Coturnix japonica: one gene and its partners. The protein of the gene in region 3 purifies or fractionates together with the protein of the main gene of each other region. This does not show direct contact. Links are inferred from orthologs where the notes say so. Each region holds a gene or a part of one and is shown on either strand. Other genes may lie near its edges. The genes, in order: DNTTIP1, HDAC1 and TRERF1.

Region 1 (5,028 bases), on a different chromosome or scaffold from region 3:
ACAGCACGGTGCTGGGGGCTCCCAGAGGGAGGGCTTAGCCCTGCCTGCTCTGCTCTCAAATAAAACCCTGACTCTGGGCAAAACCAGCACCTGAGAGGCTGTGCTACCATTAACGTGTTTCAGTGTGCTGGCCAGGTTGTGTGTACGTGCTCTAAGACAACAAATGGGGCGTGGGGAGGAAAAGCCAAGCGAGTCAAAGCGCACACACCCAGTTCCCATCACAAACTGCTTCTGAACAAACCCCAAAGGAGGAGGCATCCTGCTGTGGTATCTGACCTTAAAGAGGTGGGGATGCTTGATGTAGAGTCGCCCTCTTGTTCCTCCCATCCCGAGAGCTCTGAAAAAGGAACACAAGGGGGTGTTACACTGGGACAGAGGGGCCCTGCAGCAGCACGGGGCACCTCCTCTCCTCCCCAGGCCCCAGCCCTTCCTACTGCTTTCGAGGCAGAGAAGTGAAGTGACGGGAGGAGTCTTACGGGCTCCTGCCTGGGAGACACCACCCTCCATCAACAGGGCCATTCCTTACTTGTTTGCTCGAGATCCCAGCACAAAGGTTGTGGTTTCAGTCAGTCGGGATGGATCCCACTACAGAGCAATTGGAAAAGGGGCAACATTAGAAATGAAGCTGGTGCCAGCCAATGCTCCACGAGCCTCAGCTCTCTGACGGGGAACCTAAGAACTGATTTGGGAGGGAGGGAGGTAGCCACAAACCTCTGGATTGCCACAGAGGAAGGAAACTGCACCACCTTGGGCTGATCTAAGCTGTTTCCCTTGTAGGAAACGCTTTGTGGGATCCTCCTGGCTACCACTAAGGCTCTCCCCATGTCTCCTAACAGCTGCACCACACCACAGAGCTACAGTGCCTGGAGGAAGCAAGCAAAGGCTTCCAGGCACTGTAGAGACTCAGCAGAGTAGGGCACAACCTAGGTCTGTTCTGTGCTGCCGCTGCAGGCAGGGCTCTGCTAGCGGAAGCGAAGGGAGGAGAGGGTGAGCCCAGCAGCATCAGCCAGCCAATACCTTTGGTCCATCCCTTCTCACAGGTTCAGAGACTTTGAGCTTCCACCTGAAGGGAAGGAAAGTGAAATAAGAACAGGTCCTAGAAAGATCAATGCAGACAGACACCACAAGCTCCCAGCGGCAGGAATCTGAGTTTGAGCCTTTCCAGATCCACCCTCTCACACCTTCTCTGAAGCCCCATCTCTGCTGTGTTCCCTGTTAGCAGCTGTGTCACACACAGCTCACTGAATCATCCACCTGGTTCTGCACATCCTTTGGCCCTGTTTAAAACAGTTCCCTGGAAGGCTTTGCCTCCTGTGACTCAACCTCAGCCAAAACTCTCTTGCCCTTTGCCATCCCCCCCTACACCTCTCTTTTGTGCAGGGGGAAGGACACTGCAGGTTTTGGTGCCCCTTACTTCAGGCAGTTTTGTTTCCCGCTGCCCCCCCAAAGCACGGGCAGCAGCTTGAGGCCCATACTCACGCAGACATGCCTGAGACCCCACGATCGTTTGACAGGCTCTGTCCTGGAGGCCGTCCCTTTCTCTGCATGGAAGAAATCCTTCAGTCATTCAACTGTGCACATAGAAAGGACCCTTTTGATTATCTGTTCCATCCTACAGAAGCAGCTCTTTCTACCACAAGCACAACAACAGCATGAGAACAAGCACCTCTGAGCCTTCACAAAAACCATTCATACTTGCACATGCTCATACTGTGGTAACAGGAGCAAGGAACAGATCTCCCAAAACATAAAATCCCTCATGTGGAAAACCCTCCTACCTTTTTGGGAAGGGGGCTTCCTCGACGATTCAATTCCTCATCCATCTGTCGGGCACGCTGGAAGAGGAATGGTGGGAGGATGGAGACAAACCCTTCTCCCATCCCAGCCAGGCAGGGCCCCAAGCACACAGCCTGCAGCTCTCATTTGCTGACTTAAGGCAGAGAGCACAAGGGCACAGACAAACTCTGCAGGCAGCCCATAGCAGTGCAAAGCACTCAGATGCTGCACCTGGGGTCTGCACTGGTCTGTAAGTTACTTTCCCCACAAGACAAACATTTCCCAGCTCCACCTCCTCACTTGCACAGCTAGTAGATAATTCCAACCCCGTCATTCTATTCCTCCCAGCTCTTACAAATCATTTAATCCTCCATGAACAACAACTTTTACCTTTGGTCCCATCTGCTCGTGGGGCAACCTGGACACAACTTTTTTGCCATCTGAGAACAGCAGCTTGGCCTGTAGAAAGAGAAGGAAGGTCACCTATTCTGGGTGGAAAGGGGGACTACCAGCAACAACCCCTGCTTCACCCTGTGATGAGAAGATCCATCTTCAAAGGCACCTGTGCTGATGGGAAAGCCCCAGACCATGTGAAACATAAAGGCCACATCTAAAGACCAAACTCTTTATTGACATCTGGCCACTACAGACTAAAGATTTGGGTCTATCTGCCCCCAGGTCCCATCCCAGAAATAGTCTCACGTGTGTTTGTACCCACCTGCTCCAGGCAGCTCCGACACGTCTCCTGGATCAGCTGCTCTGGATCCACGTCCTCCCCAACGTTGTCTCGCACGTTGAGTGCTGCCTTCTGGAAGAACTGGGGGAGGAGCAGCATGATGTCAGCAGCCACGTAAACTCCATCCAGGGTGCAGCACCCAGCTGCCCTCACACAGTGTGCAGGGCTGGGTCCTCTGAGATGCCGTGGCTGCTCCCTGTCCACTCACCTTCATGTACTTATTGAACACAGCCCGGATCTCCTCGTTAATGCTGGGCTGCAGCACGGCTCGCAGCAGGTCCATGGACACGATCGGGTCGGTGAAGCTGTGTGAGCACATGGAGTCAGTCCCGGTGCAGGCACTATCCCGGTGCCCCCATTCCCTCCCTTTAGGCCCATCCCAGCCCCGCTCCGGTTCATCCCTCCCCGCTGTCCGGTCCCTCCGGTACCTGGTTGTCATCTGTGACCGCCGGCCGCGCCGCTGCACCTGCCGATGCTTGATCATGATGTTCCACGGGCTCTGCGGGACACAACCGTCAGCCCCGAGCCCGCCTCCCTCCCGTCCTCCCTCTCCACCTCCTCCTCCTCCCTCCCCCCTCACCGTTCCTCCCGGCTGCTCCTCGCCTCCTCCCGGTCCCTCCTCTCCCGGAGGCCCCGGCTGCTGCTCGGCGTCACGGGCGGCGCCCATCGCGCTCCGGGCCCGCGGCGCCGCTTCCGGAAGCACCGGGTTCAATACGTCATCGGAACGCGACACGCGTGGCGCGACGGAAGTGGCAGCGGCTTCCGGCGGGTGGGTCCGGCGTGGCGATCCCTGCCCGGTGCCCGGTGATCCCTGCCCGCTTCCTGCCCCGCCTGGCCGCCATCCCCCGCCCCGTGCTGCCCCGCCGTGGGGCTGTGAGGAGCCGGGACCTGTGGGATTCAGCTTACCGGAAAGCTCATTGCTGTACGCAGACATGGCTGTAATACATTTAACTTCTTAATTCTCTGTGTTATGACCGATGTTTGGATGCACGGAGCTGTATCGGTGCTGTAATGACGGTGCTGTGCCCAAGGGGGCCGGGGCTGCAGCAGGGCAGGATGGCATTGCCTTTGTAGCTGCACGGCAGTGCCCTGGCAGCTCCCATTAGCTCATAACTGTGCTGTGCTGCCCCTTAGGCCGTGCCCTGAGTCACTGCCACCGGCTGGATTCACCCCGTGCCTTTGTCATTCTCGAGGCAGATAGGAAGCAGATAGTAATCTGTGGCTAAAGAGTAATGGAGATAATTGCACTGTTATCATCACCGTATCACACCTCTCCTGTGGGGTGTTCGGAACACAACGTCAGTGCCACCTGCTGCGAGCGCACCGCTGGGTACCGCTGTCTGCTCTTGTGCTGGGCAGAGACCCACGAGTGGCAGCACCGACACTGTGCTGAGCTGCCCCTCCTGCTGGGGCTTGGAGGGCTCCGGACAGCACAGTAGGTGGCAGGGAACTGTGGCACGAGGGAGCTCTGCTCACCATGGTCACAGAGGTGACACCATCGAGCTGAGATGTGGGGCACAGGGACTGCAGCGGATAGGGGCGGTTCACAAGGGAAATAGCTCCAGAACTGAGTCATGGCCACGAGGAGTGGAAGAAACCTGTACTTCGAGCTCATTTCTTGCAGTAAGCCTCCTTCCCACGCAGGTTTGGTGGCATGCAGGCCCTGCGCCTTCCCACTGCTGAACACATGGCCCCAGTGCTGCCCATGTGTGGCCTTTGCCACCATTTGGACGAAGCTTTCTGAAGCAGTTTTGCCTTCTGAGCTTTCACACAGAGTGACCTGCACATGCTGACAGTGGTAGAGATGCTCCTGGTGCAGAGGAGAGACATAAACATGGTGGCACACTGAATTCTTTGTTCACTCTCAATGCAAACACAGGGCAGGGGCTGGCAGCATGGAGCTGAGCTGTAATACCTGCCCTGGGCAGCTCTCCTCCACTCAGTGCTGCGGCACTCCGTGTTCTGTCTGCCAGGAGACATTTATTCCTGCTGGTTTTAAAGCATAACAAGCTACAGCATTGACATTCAACCCTGCACAGGTGGAGCTGAGCTCCTCCGGGGCAATGGAGGGGGGGAAATCTTGCTCTGCAATCTGGGAAGGTGCCCCTGGGGGTGAACGAGGAGCTCTGATGTTACCAGTGCCCATTAAGGGTTTATGGGCCGAGAATCGGGCTGGCCGCAGCCCGGTGTTCCGGTGTCTCCTCCTGCCCTGCTGCTGCGGGTGTCCCACGGGGCACGCAGGACGTGGGAGGTGCCCGGGGCCGCCTCTCTGCTGTAGCTTAAATCCCGTCTGGGCGCCGTGCGGGCAGGGTGCTGGCACCATGCGGGGGGGTGCTTGGCTCCTGCTGGGGCTGCTGGCCCTCGGTGTCCCGCTGCACGCCGCGCCCGCTGCAGGTGAGCACGGCCCCGCGGTGGGTGAGGTGCGCTGTGCGCTGTGCGGGTGGCTCTGCTTTGGTTTTATATCCCAGCACTTTCTGCCAGAGCTGCGACCCTCGCGAGCTCTAGCCCTGCTTAAG
Region 2 (5,042 bases), on a different chromosome or scaffold from region 3:
TGCACAAATAAGTGCACAGCTTTCTAGCCCAGCTCACACACGAAAACAGCCCAGAATTCCCAGTGTGCCAAACAATGGACTTTAAGGAAAGGTTTTACCCAATATATATTTAGGTCAGTCACTGAATACGCATTTAGACAAGGAACATTCTCTCCCACGGCTCCTTTGTAAACTTTCTGCAGTTTTGCAAGTCTCCAAGGATTAACAGAAGTGATACATTCTGGGGACGCACAATCTTGGGATCACAAAGCACAGCTACTTCAAGAAACAACATCAGAACGCTGCGGTCAGCACTGGTAGGTACTGCTCAACTGTGTGACAGGAAGCCAAGATTGCTGGATGTCACTGGGGGAGTAGCAGACACAAAGCCCTACTGTAGATGCACAGTATCACAGTCCTGAAGTACCACATCTCCTTGGTACAAAGTGTTTTAAATGTTCCAGCTTCTGCCTCATGGCCAGAGACATTGGCTTTCTGCTAAGAACAAGAAAAATAACCCTTTCTTGCTTTTTAGCTGGCACCTACACCAGGCAACTTCTGTGCCTTTGCTTTTCTGTGCAGCTCACATTACTTATTTTTAATTATTACTGGTAAAACCCCACTGCTGTCAGGGTTCTGTCTATCACCTTTGTGGAGTCATCCAAGAAGTAGCTCAGAGTAATAAAGATACATTTAACAAACGCAGAGGGGTCTGTCAAAATGCAAAGCTGGAATTCCAGCATGGGGAGAAATCTCAACCTGAGGAAGTCAGAAATAGGCTCATAGGGCTCCCCCACCCCCACCTACAACAAATCACTTTTGCAGAACAACTTGATGTAAATCTGCTTAGGAAAAGACTGTACGACGGATGAGCTTACCAACTGAGCCTCCAGCAGAGAGCTGACAGAACTCAAACAGCCCATCGAACACAGGACAGTCCTCCCCGACGTTAACTTGAAAAGAATACATAAGAATTAGTAAGACCAAGTCACAAAGCATTGGTAAAGCTTGTACTACCTGTCTGATTAAAGAAAAACCCAAAACCTAGCCTGATAAGGACTTTAATCAACTGAAAAACAAACTGAAAAACACACAAATGACAGGACATGAAGGTGGTCCCACCAACACTGCCTGCATGGTTTGCTGCTATGGAAGGATGCTCCCAGCTCAGCAGGTGCCAGGAGCTGCAGTGGGACAGTCACGCCACCTACCGGGTGAAGGCTCAGAGGGAGGCAGGAACCAGTCAATCATCTCAGAAAGGAGCGTGCAGGGAGAGATGCTGCCCATGAGAGCTGCACTGTACCAGCACAGGCCCTCACGTTTGGCACATTGACTGTGCTGGGCTCTATTTGGCAGCTGGTGCTGCTCAGCAGGGCCATGCACACACTGTGCAGGAAGGAGGCAGCACCCCCTGCCATTAAACACACTAACAGCAGGCTTGTGTTAAATCTACATTTTAAAACTCCTTCCCCTCTGCTCTGAGCCTCCGGTGCAAGTTTCTCAGCCAGGCAGAAGCTTGTTCTTCCCAAGAAAGCAAAGGCAGGGGTTTCCTCTCCCTGCTGAATAAAAGATCTGCCCTCTGTGTGTTTAAGATTAATTTTCATATTTCGCCTCCTTCAGTTAAAAACAGTTCTGTGGAAATAGAATAGAGAAAACGTTGACTACCAGAGAGCAGAGTGGGTGTCTGTGAGCCGTATCAGCTTCAGGGGTAAACAGTTCAGTTTGTGTAAATACATTCTTTGGTATATTAAGTCAAATTATTTACTATAGGAGGTCTTTCAATGTATATTACTTGTGAACCATACTATTCATTCCTATTATGTGCTTGTGCCTAAACATCTGTCCCTTTCAGCTAATACCAGGGTTTCAAGTGCCCTTACTGCAGGCTCAGGACTCGTATCTCTTTTAATTTGGAAATCACATTTGACATAAACGGATCCTGTGGGCTTTTCTCTTTTTTCCTGCTCTCAAGGAATGCAGTGTATCAAACTAATGATTAAAAGAGACTTGAGCCTCCCCCATCTATTTGCCTTTATGACCTGATACAAAACATCACCTCAGAGTTTAAGACAGACCGAAAAAAGGAAAGGTTTCTGTAGCATTAAAGCTGCCAAGAGATCCTCAGCACCTTCATGGACTGCAGAGGTTAAAGGAACTGGTTATCTCACAGAAAAAGAAAGAAGATTCTGACACAAAGCAGACAGATACAATCGCACAACACTTAGCACTGACATGAACACAGCCCCACACACACAGCTTACATCTTTGCATCTGCTTGCTGTACTCAGACATGTTGTCTGGGCGGATGGATCTCAGGAATTTGATGTAGTCATCACTGTGGTACTTGGTCATCTCCTCCGCGTTCGCCTTGTGAGGGCGCTGCAAGGACAGAGGGTTTGGTTGGGAACACTGCCCTCCCCACATCCCATTTCCAGTCTCAGATTTACTCCCAGAAACAGCAAAAATAATAAAATAAGTAAATGAAGCAGCAGCACTAGACAAGAGAAATTTATTTTCAAAGGCAAAAAAGCCATTACCAGAGACTGGAACATACTACATATCCAGGTACAGAAAATATTTAAGCTACTGAGAGCAAACCAATTTTCCAGACTCCAAAGCTTATCTGAAGCAAAGAACATCTCACTGCAAGGAATCAGAATGCAGCAGAAATATGTCAACACAACCATTTAATCCTTTTTCACTTTCCTCTTTGGCTTGTCAAAGAGAATTTAAGAGCTTGAAGCACCAAAATTACAACTGACAACACACTTGTTTTTTCATCACACTTACATATATCTCCATCTTCCTGTAAAGGCCGTAGTTCAGCAGTAGGTTGTGGGTCATCCGGATCCTGTGGGGCTTCATGGGGTGTCCCTGGCCATAATAATAGTTTCCAACATCACCTGGGAACAGAAAGGATTTTGTTACAGCAGGGAAAAACACGAACTGCTTCAAATACAACCACATCTGTCATCTCATGTGCCCATCAGCAGCCCATCTGTTCACAGGGGGAAGGGGCTGCACATGCATCTGCACCATCAGAAAGCTTTATCCCAGACCCAAACAAGACTGCCTTATGGACAACAGGGTATGGCCAAGTATGGGGCTTCCCTAAGAAATACAGAGCTCTCTGAGCAGAAACCTGCAAGCCAGGAGGCACAGGAGTTTAATCCCAGCTCAGACAATGACTCACCAGCCAGCACACGTAGCCACTTTGCCTCAGTTTACTACTGTTTACCCAGCAGACATGAGATACAAGCTGCCAATTCTGTCAATAAGCAAATCACAGCACAGCTATAGCTTTACAGCTCCCATTATTCCCATCCCTTATTACTGCCTGAAACCCTTTGGAAATCCTTCACCAGGTTAATTTAAGTCGGCACCTCACAATTACACCCCACAGCTCAGCTCCCCATGCAGATGTTCCTCCTCCCAGTAAAAGCTGAGCTCCTGCTGCCATCTCCCACTGGCTTTTTCCCTCCTCTCCCAGGTCACACATTTCCGTGGTGTTTTCCATAGAATTTAACTCAGGTTTCTGTCCCTGCCTGACGTGGCCATGAGAAGTGCTGCCAAAAGCAGGGAACGCACTGAGCCACACGCAGCAGCGACGCTGCACAAGCCTCATGTTGTTGAGAAATCAAACTAAGTCATTGGCATAGTTTTACAGCTCCCCATCAGCTTACGAAGCAAGAGACTCAACCCGGTCTGCCCAGTGACTCAGCTGGGAGCATTAATATTTCATCACCAATCTTAACATACAGGAGAAACTGCTACTTCCTCGCAGCACACAGCCGTGATGCCTCCTCCATGGGCATGAGCTTCCATTTAAAGGACATGCAAACCCCACACCCAAACCATTCTGCTGCTGGAGTTCATCTGTGTGATGCTACAGTGAAAGGAGGTGGGTTTTGCCTGCACCAAAACACTTCCTACAGCAAAAGCAGGGTATGTTAAGCTTTGGGGAGCCATTGGGGGTGTTCAAAACTATATCTAGGAAACACACACACAAAGCTTTGCAAATGTATTGCCTCCCTTCTTTCCCTTGGGCTGCCAGCAAGACCCCAGACGTGTCTCACCACAAGTCCTACCACGCTGCACTGAGCTCAGCAGTGCTAATGGGTGCACATTAAGTGTGAGAATTCAACACAGACCTCTTCCTGTCTGCTGGGTTAAGCAGAGCCCCATGTTGGAACAAAAGAGAATTTCCCATACGCAGCCCCAACTCACCTCAACATGAACATGAAGGACCCCTCCACACCACATTTCTTTTTCCCCAACCTCTCCACTCAGCCCAGACCCTTCCCCACAGCTCAATGAGCTCCCCCCTGTGAATGTTTGCCAGCCCCTCATAAAAGAGCAGTGGAAACAAGCCACTAAAACCTCCCCACAGAGTAAATGGGTGAGGGCAGCTACAGGCAAGGGGGAATAACACTAACTTCATTTTGTTACCGTGCAATAAGGACCATAAGGATATAATTCTGCTTAGCATTCACAGCAAGATGATCACTTATTCTGTGTTTAACAGACCATCTCATGCCTTGAAGGATGTTAGCTGGTAAACTGGAAAGTATCCCTGTGAACACCTTAAGATTCTAAGGAGGGAGAAGTTTGGACACAGAGAGATCTTCCACACCCGGGTTGCTTGTGCATAACCAGCACCCTGCCGCTTCCTGCCAGCACTCTGTGCTTAAACTGGGCCTGACTGAGCCCAGGGCTCCAGCCCCAAACTGCACTTTGAGATGCTGGGGCTCCACAGGCAGCTTGTGTGCTGAATTCAGGCAGTTCTGCTGCTCTGATCCCTTCCTCCTCCTCACCCTGCCTGAAGACTCAGGGCCACCACCACAGGATGCAATCCTACTGCTCATGTTTGCTTCTGAGAAGAAATGAGAGCCCTCACTACCTGCCCAACACAGAAAGCAGTTTAGAAGAGCTCACTTTATTGTTTGAGTGTGGAACACATCCACTTACCGGGGGAAAAAAGAAAAGGAATAAAGTTTTTATTTAACTTCACAGACTGCAAACTAGAATGAAATAAAGAACCACACAATACCTCCTGCACAAAG
Region 3 (5,167 bases):
TGCTGGTGCTGCTGAACTTGCGTAAGTATAGGAGAGCCTGGAAGCCAAGACCAGGCAAAACTGACATCTGCACTTGTAGATGTGGTTATCTCCATTGCAGAGGTGTGGGAGAGGGCAAAAGAATCCCCCTGGTTTTATAGGCAGAAAATTATACCGTTCTGATCACAGTTCCTCATTGGAAGCTATACAGTATCAAAAAAGGCCTAAGAGAAGAAACAATTTGTTGCCACATCACAAATTACTTTTCATCTATCAAACGCTGTTGGTTTTTGTTTGTTTTTTTGTTTTTTGAAGTATTTCTAAGGAAGCTGAAATGAAACTGCCTTATCTCGCAAGTTGCTATGACACATCATAAAGAGACACAGCCTCCCAGCACCAGAATCTCACAATGACACCACAGATCCCAGGGCTGCTCTCCCTCAGCTCACCGCTCTTTACAGAACTGGGAAAGGGGAGGAAGGCCCTCGCCAAGCAACTCTCTTAGAGACATATATTCCCTGCTAGATTGCAACAAAAGTACAGCAGTTTAAAACATTCAGAGCAGTATATTATCTCACTGCTTTAGGAAAGCTGCAGTAGGTTACATGACTGGGTTTTTTATACTTTTCTCACACTCGTTACCAGATGCTAAATTACAATCTTGGTTTACAACAGCAAACCTCCGTGTATCCCTGGAAATGGCCTGAAGAAGCACGTGCAATGGAATTCTGAGCTTAAAACCTAGCTCAAAACCTAAGTCCCTTTTCCTACCCAGTCCTGTTGAGTGCTTCCCAAAAGCAAAGTAACCTGAAAGAAGGACTTGCTCTGTGGTCCTAAACCCAAACCAGAGGCACGTGATCGGCAGAGGCCAACAACACAAAGTGCATATCACATGGAGATTTTATTCAGCCTCCAAATGTAACATGAGTCAGAGTTAGATAGGGAGGTTGTTCATGCTATGGTTACTCACAGGACCCTACCTGGCCCCACTGTGCCCAGGGCAGGGCACTCAGAAATGACAGGGCTGCCAAGTGCCACCCTTACCACTGTACCTACAGGCTGAGCCCACGCTCTGTGCCCAGGCTGGCATCCACAGTGAAGCCTATGTGATCTATTATGCCATTCAAATTGAATTACTCGTATTTGAGCTTTTCAGACATGCTGGTTTGACTGACGCCCTGATAATGCTACTCAGCCCCTTGCTGGAGTCTCCCAACTTTAGAAACTTGATCTACTTATCAGCTGCAGCAGAAAGGATCATAAAAGCATTTATTTGCAACAAAAGCTTGGAGTGCAGCACATAGGAGCCTCTCCTTTTTCTAAAGTACATGAGATAATTAGCTATAGAAGAAAAACGCACAATATGTTTTGTTTATATGAAAGAATTGCTTATCTAAATTCTAACTTAACAGTCTATTTGGCATGACCTTATTTTACAAACTACAAAGCCACAGGTTAACTTCCACACCATATATGCATAGATGGAGTGTTGATGAAGCAGCACTTGGGATGTTAAAATTCCAACCTTGGATAAGGCTCAAAAAAGCAGGTAACAATGAATCATAGAATATCCTGAGTTGTTAAGGATCCATAAAGTTCACCGAGTCCAACTCCTGGCTTCATACAGCAACACCCAAAAATCAAACCCCATGTCTGAGAACGTACAAGGAACATTATGCCATGTCCCCACGGCGGGTGACAAAGTGAAATGGGCATTTCTAGGGAAACATTATGAGGAATTGACTGGAGCACAGCCTCCAGTCAAGGAAGGAGGCAGCCCCAGCACAGTGCCCGCAGGCCAGCTGGGATGCAGGGCAGCAGGGCAAGGCCCAGGCTGGCCCATAGGGCTCTCTGAAGCACATGCAGCAGAATTACAGTTGTCAGAGATACAAAACTTCACCCTTGTTATTACCCGCTTAACACACAATTAAGCGCTTTGCAGCGTTTGCCATAAATAGTTCAGCTATGGGTCACTGTATCTATCTCACCGCTATGAGATTAGTTTGTAAAACCCTACGAACATCACTGGTGTTGGTGGTGGTCGGCGTGGTTGTGCCGGGACACGACAAGAGGTCGGATGCTACTGGGTGAGCGTGTCGGCGTCACCGAGTTTCACACCCTGGCTATTCCAGCCTGGGCGGCGGGAACGAAACCGATCTGAGAAGCCGGCAGAGGATGAGTAGGCATTATCCACTTACTGACTGGTGAACTGCCAGTTCATTTCACTTGCAAATCATCCCTCCGCTACTTAAGCATCTGGCTGGCAGCTTTTGGTCATTACCCCGCACTGTGACAGCACACACACCCCAGCCGTCCCGCACTCCAGCACTTTCCCACTCTATGGGTAGAGCAGCAGTCATCCCCTATACCCTGCGAGGCACCTCCGCGCCGTGACCCTTCGGATGCCGCCACCTCGCTCGGGAACACGCGTGGGTCCCTCGGCGGCTCGTGGGACGCGCACACCCCGCCCGGCCCCGCGCACTGACAACTTCCTCGCGGCCGCCCCGCGCCTCCTTCCCTCCCTCCCTCCCTCCGTCCCTTCTCTCGGCACGGCTGTACCGCCGGCCCCGCCCGGAGCAGCCCGGAGCAGCGGGCAGGTAGGGGCCGGGCAGCCCCCACCGCGGCCCCGCGAGGAGGAGGAGGATGAGGCGGCTTCGGGCAGGGCCTCGGCGCTGCGGACCGAAAGTCAGCTGCAAACTTTTTTTTTTTTTTTTTCTTTTTCTTTTTTTTTTTTTTAATTCTGCAAGCGAAGCCCCGGCTCATGCAAAAATGAAACTTGCGAAGCGCTGCCCTACCTGGCGCCAAGTCTGCAACAAGTGCACGGGGGCCGGCACGAGGGGCTCTGATTTTTCTCTCTTTTTGGGAGCCGCGAGAGCGACCGCACTATTAATTGATCACCGCGCCGCCGGGGCCGGGTCCTACTTTACTTACGGCGCAGCCCGTAAACAAATATCGCTCCGCCAGGAAACGCAACTCCCCCGGCCCGCACGGCCCGGCCCGGCCCCGCCGCCAACACCCGGCCCGGCCCCCGCCCGCCCGGCACATGGCGGGTCCGCGCCCCGCGGGGAGGCTGCGGAGCGGGCGCTTACCTCCGGCACGGCCTCCCGCTGCGGCTCCGGCCGCGCCGCCCTTCTCTCGTCTCTCGCCCGTGATGCACGAAATCCCGCTGTCAGCAAATCGCTGTCAAATTATTTTCTCGCAAAAGAGCGAGGAGGAAAAAAAAAAAAAAGAAAAAAAAAAAAAGCAGAAGCAGAAGGGGGAGGAGGCAGCTGGAGGCGACGGGATCCCTCCGCCGCGATGGGTCTGGCTCTGGGTAGCGAAGCAGGAAGTAAGGTGTCGGCGGCGCCGCGGCCGCGGCCGCCCGGCCCCGCGGCGGGGCGAGGGCGAGGGGCGCCCGCCGCCCCCGGGGCCCGCTCCGCCCGCTCCGCCGAGCCGCGGCCCCCCCTTGTGCGGCCCCTCCTCTCGGCGCAGGTGCCGGGCGGCTGGCGGGGAGCTGTCAGCGGCTGCCGGCGGGGCTCGGGCCGGCCGCGGGCTCCCGGCGCCGCATGCCGCAGGGCGGAGGGGACGGGGCCGGCTCCGGCTCCCGCCCGGCCGGCGGCACCGCCGTCCCTCCCCCGCGGCGCTGAGGGAGGGGGCGCCCGGCGGCGGCGGCGGCTGAAGGAGATGGGGTCCCGCCGACCGGGCTGTGAGGGAGCGGCCGGGCCGCCTCACCCCCCCGCCCCACCGCCCGGAGAAGCCGAGGCCGAGCTGGGGCGGGGGGAAGCGGCGGCGGCGCCGGAGAGGAAAGTTGTGCCGGGCTGTCAGCGGGCCGGGCGGCTCCGGGCGGGCTGAGGGTTAACCGGGAAGTTCACGCTCTCGCACAGCGAGCCCCGTGGAAAGTTGCCGCTCAGGTCGCTGGTTTTTGCCACTGCTAGTCTTAAGCTGTCCCTTTCTTTCCCCGTTAATTCCGCAGGAGGGTTCTGGTGGCGTTCCTTCCCGGCCCTGCCTCCCTCGAGCTGGGAATATACGTTACATTGCACCAAAACGTTCCCTTGCGGGGAAGGATTTCGCATCTCGAGGACGGAGACGCGGTGCGCGCGACTCCTGCGGCGCTCCGTGTGAGCTCAGGGAGTTACTGCCAGAGACCATGGCTGGGGAGAGAGAAACCGAAACGGGGCGGTGGTGAGGGCCCACTTCTGCCTTCAGAACAGAAGGAAGAAGAAAAAAGACAAAACTCTCCCTGGTTACGGCTGCAACAGAAATAGGGCTGTGGCGTGTTAGCGTCTCTGTTTCAGCCTTACGTTGTAATGGTTACCAGCAGCCTCGTTTCATTTTTATGGTCATCCCGGTTTCTTGGTTGCATGACACTTCTATTGGGACACCGTTCTTAATAATTTAACCTTTTATGAGATCGTTTTGATTTACAGTGCAGATTAGAGCAGACTGAAAAGGCATGATATCACCCGCTGGCTGCTGGCTCCTCTGCGCCCCATGCAAAGGTCTCCACTGTTGAAGACGTCAGGAGCGAGGTCTCATTTTCCTTCCCCAGCCAGCCAGTCATTTTCTAATCTTATTTTTACTTAAGTGAAGAATCGCATTCAGATACTGTAACTCTGCCGTGCTGAGCTGTGCAGAATCTACACTGAGTTTTGGATTCAATGGATGGCTTGTTTGCTCACTGGAGTCCCAAGTCACATAAACTATGTTGAAAATAGAATTGAAACCACAGCTCGACGTGTGCCTTGCCTCTGTTTGTTTTTTGAGTCTAGTCTGAAGCCCAGAATAGCCCATATTGCTTGCGATTTCCAAAATGACTTCTGAAAATAAGCTGTGTGATAGAACAGTCTGTATAGCTTTCTCTCAGCATCTCAACTTGTTCAACCGATGGATGTGAACAGATCCACATTGAGTTGGTGAGGTGGTACTTCATTTAACTGAAGCTCGCGGGCTTGAGTTGCAGTTCTCAAAGCAAAAGCAAATGAATGGTATAATTTAAATTTGAACAAAGCATCATTATCTGGCCTCCGCCTGACGTGCTGTGAGCTCGACCTGCATTGCTCTGCCATAACAAGTACATACATAGAATTTCTGAATGAAGGCAAGTAGGTTATTAGCTTTGGACAATGTTTCATGAAAAATGTGGGGGCTGGCTTTAGCTATACCGCATTCTTTATACTTATCCTGCAATTTATGAATTGGTCTTCATCAG

What was found.
Region 1: the proteins of TRERF1 (region 3) and DNTTIP1 purify together in Homo sapiens (affinity purification with mass spectrometry; 3 studies listed by BioGRID and IntAct, with this or other methods). This does not show direct contact. The link is inferred for Coturnix japonica from reciprocal best matches to the Homo sapiens genes TRERF1 and DNTTIP1.
Region 2: the proteins of TRERF1 (region 3) and HDAC1 purify together in Homo sapiens (co-immunoprecipitation; 5 studies listed by BioGRID and IntAct, counting the BioPlex papers as one, with this or other methods). This does not show direct contact. The link is inferred for Coturnix japonica from reciprocal best matches to the Homo sapiens genes TRERF1 and HDAC1.

Annotation. Positions count from the first base shown.
Region 1 is NC_029535.1:9,477,311-9,482,338, reverse strand, and holds the start of DNTTIP1 (deoxynucleotidyltransferase terminal-interacting protein 1), read right to left. Parts: upstream 3,243-5,028; 5' UTR 3,180-3,242; coding exon 3,093-3,179; intron 3,012-3,092; coding exon 2,941-3,011; intron 2,818-2,940; coding exon 2,721-2,817; intron 2,594-2,720; coding exon 2,495-2,593; intron 2,236-2,494; coding exon 2,167-2,235; intron 1,836-2,166; coding exon 1,779-1,835; intron 1,542-1,778; coding exon 1,480-1,541; intron 1,064-1,479; coding exon 1,018-1,063; intron 586-1,017; coding exon 527-585; intron 338-526; coding exon 277-337; intron 1-276. Other genes in the region: aspartate and glycine-rich protein-like, read left to right, coding at 4,834-4,906. UniProt on the Homo sapiens protein: Increases DNTT terminal deoxynucleotidyltransferase activity (in vitro). Also acts as a transcriptional regulator, binding to the consensus sequence 5'-GNTGCATG-3' following an AT-tract.
Region 2 is NC_029538.1:4,507,583-4,512,624, forward strand, and holds the start of HDAC1 (histone deacetylase 1), read right to left. Parts: upstream 3,332-5,042; 5' UTR 2,947-3,331; coding exon 2,770-2,946; intron 2,359-2,769; coding exon 2,241-2,358; intron 933-2,240; coding exon 858-932; intron 1-857. UniProt on the Homo sapiens protein: Histone deacetylase that catalyzes the deacetylation of lysine residues on the N-terminal part of the core histones (H2A, H2B, H3 and H4).
Region 3 is NC_029518.1:20,297,654-20,302,820, forward strand, and holds the start of TRERF1 (transcriptional-regulating factor 1), read right to left. Parts: upstream 3,186-5,167; 5' UTR 3,069-3,185; intron 2,947-3,068; exon of another isoform or gene 2,775-2,946; intron 1-2,774.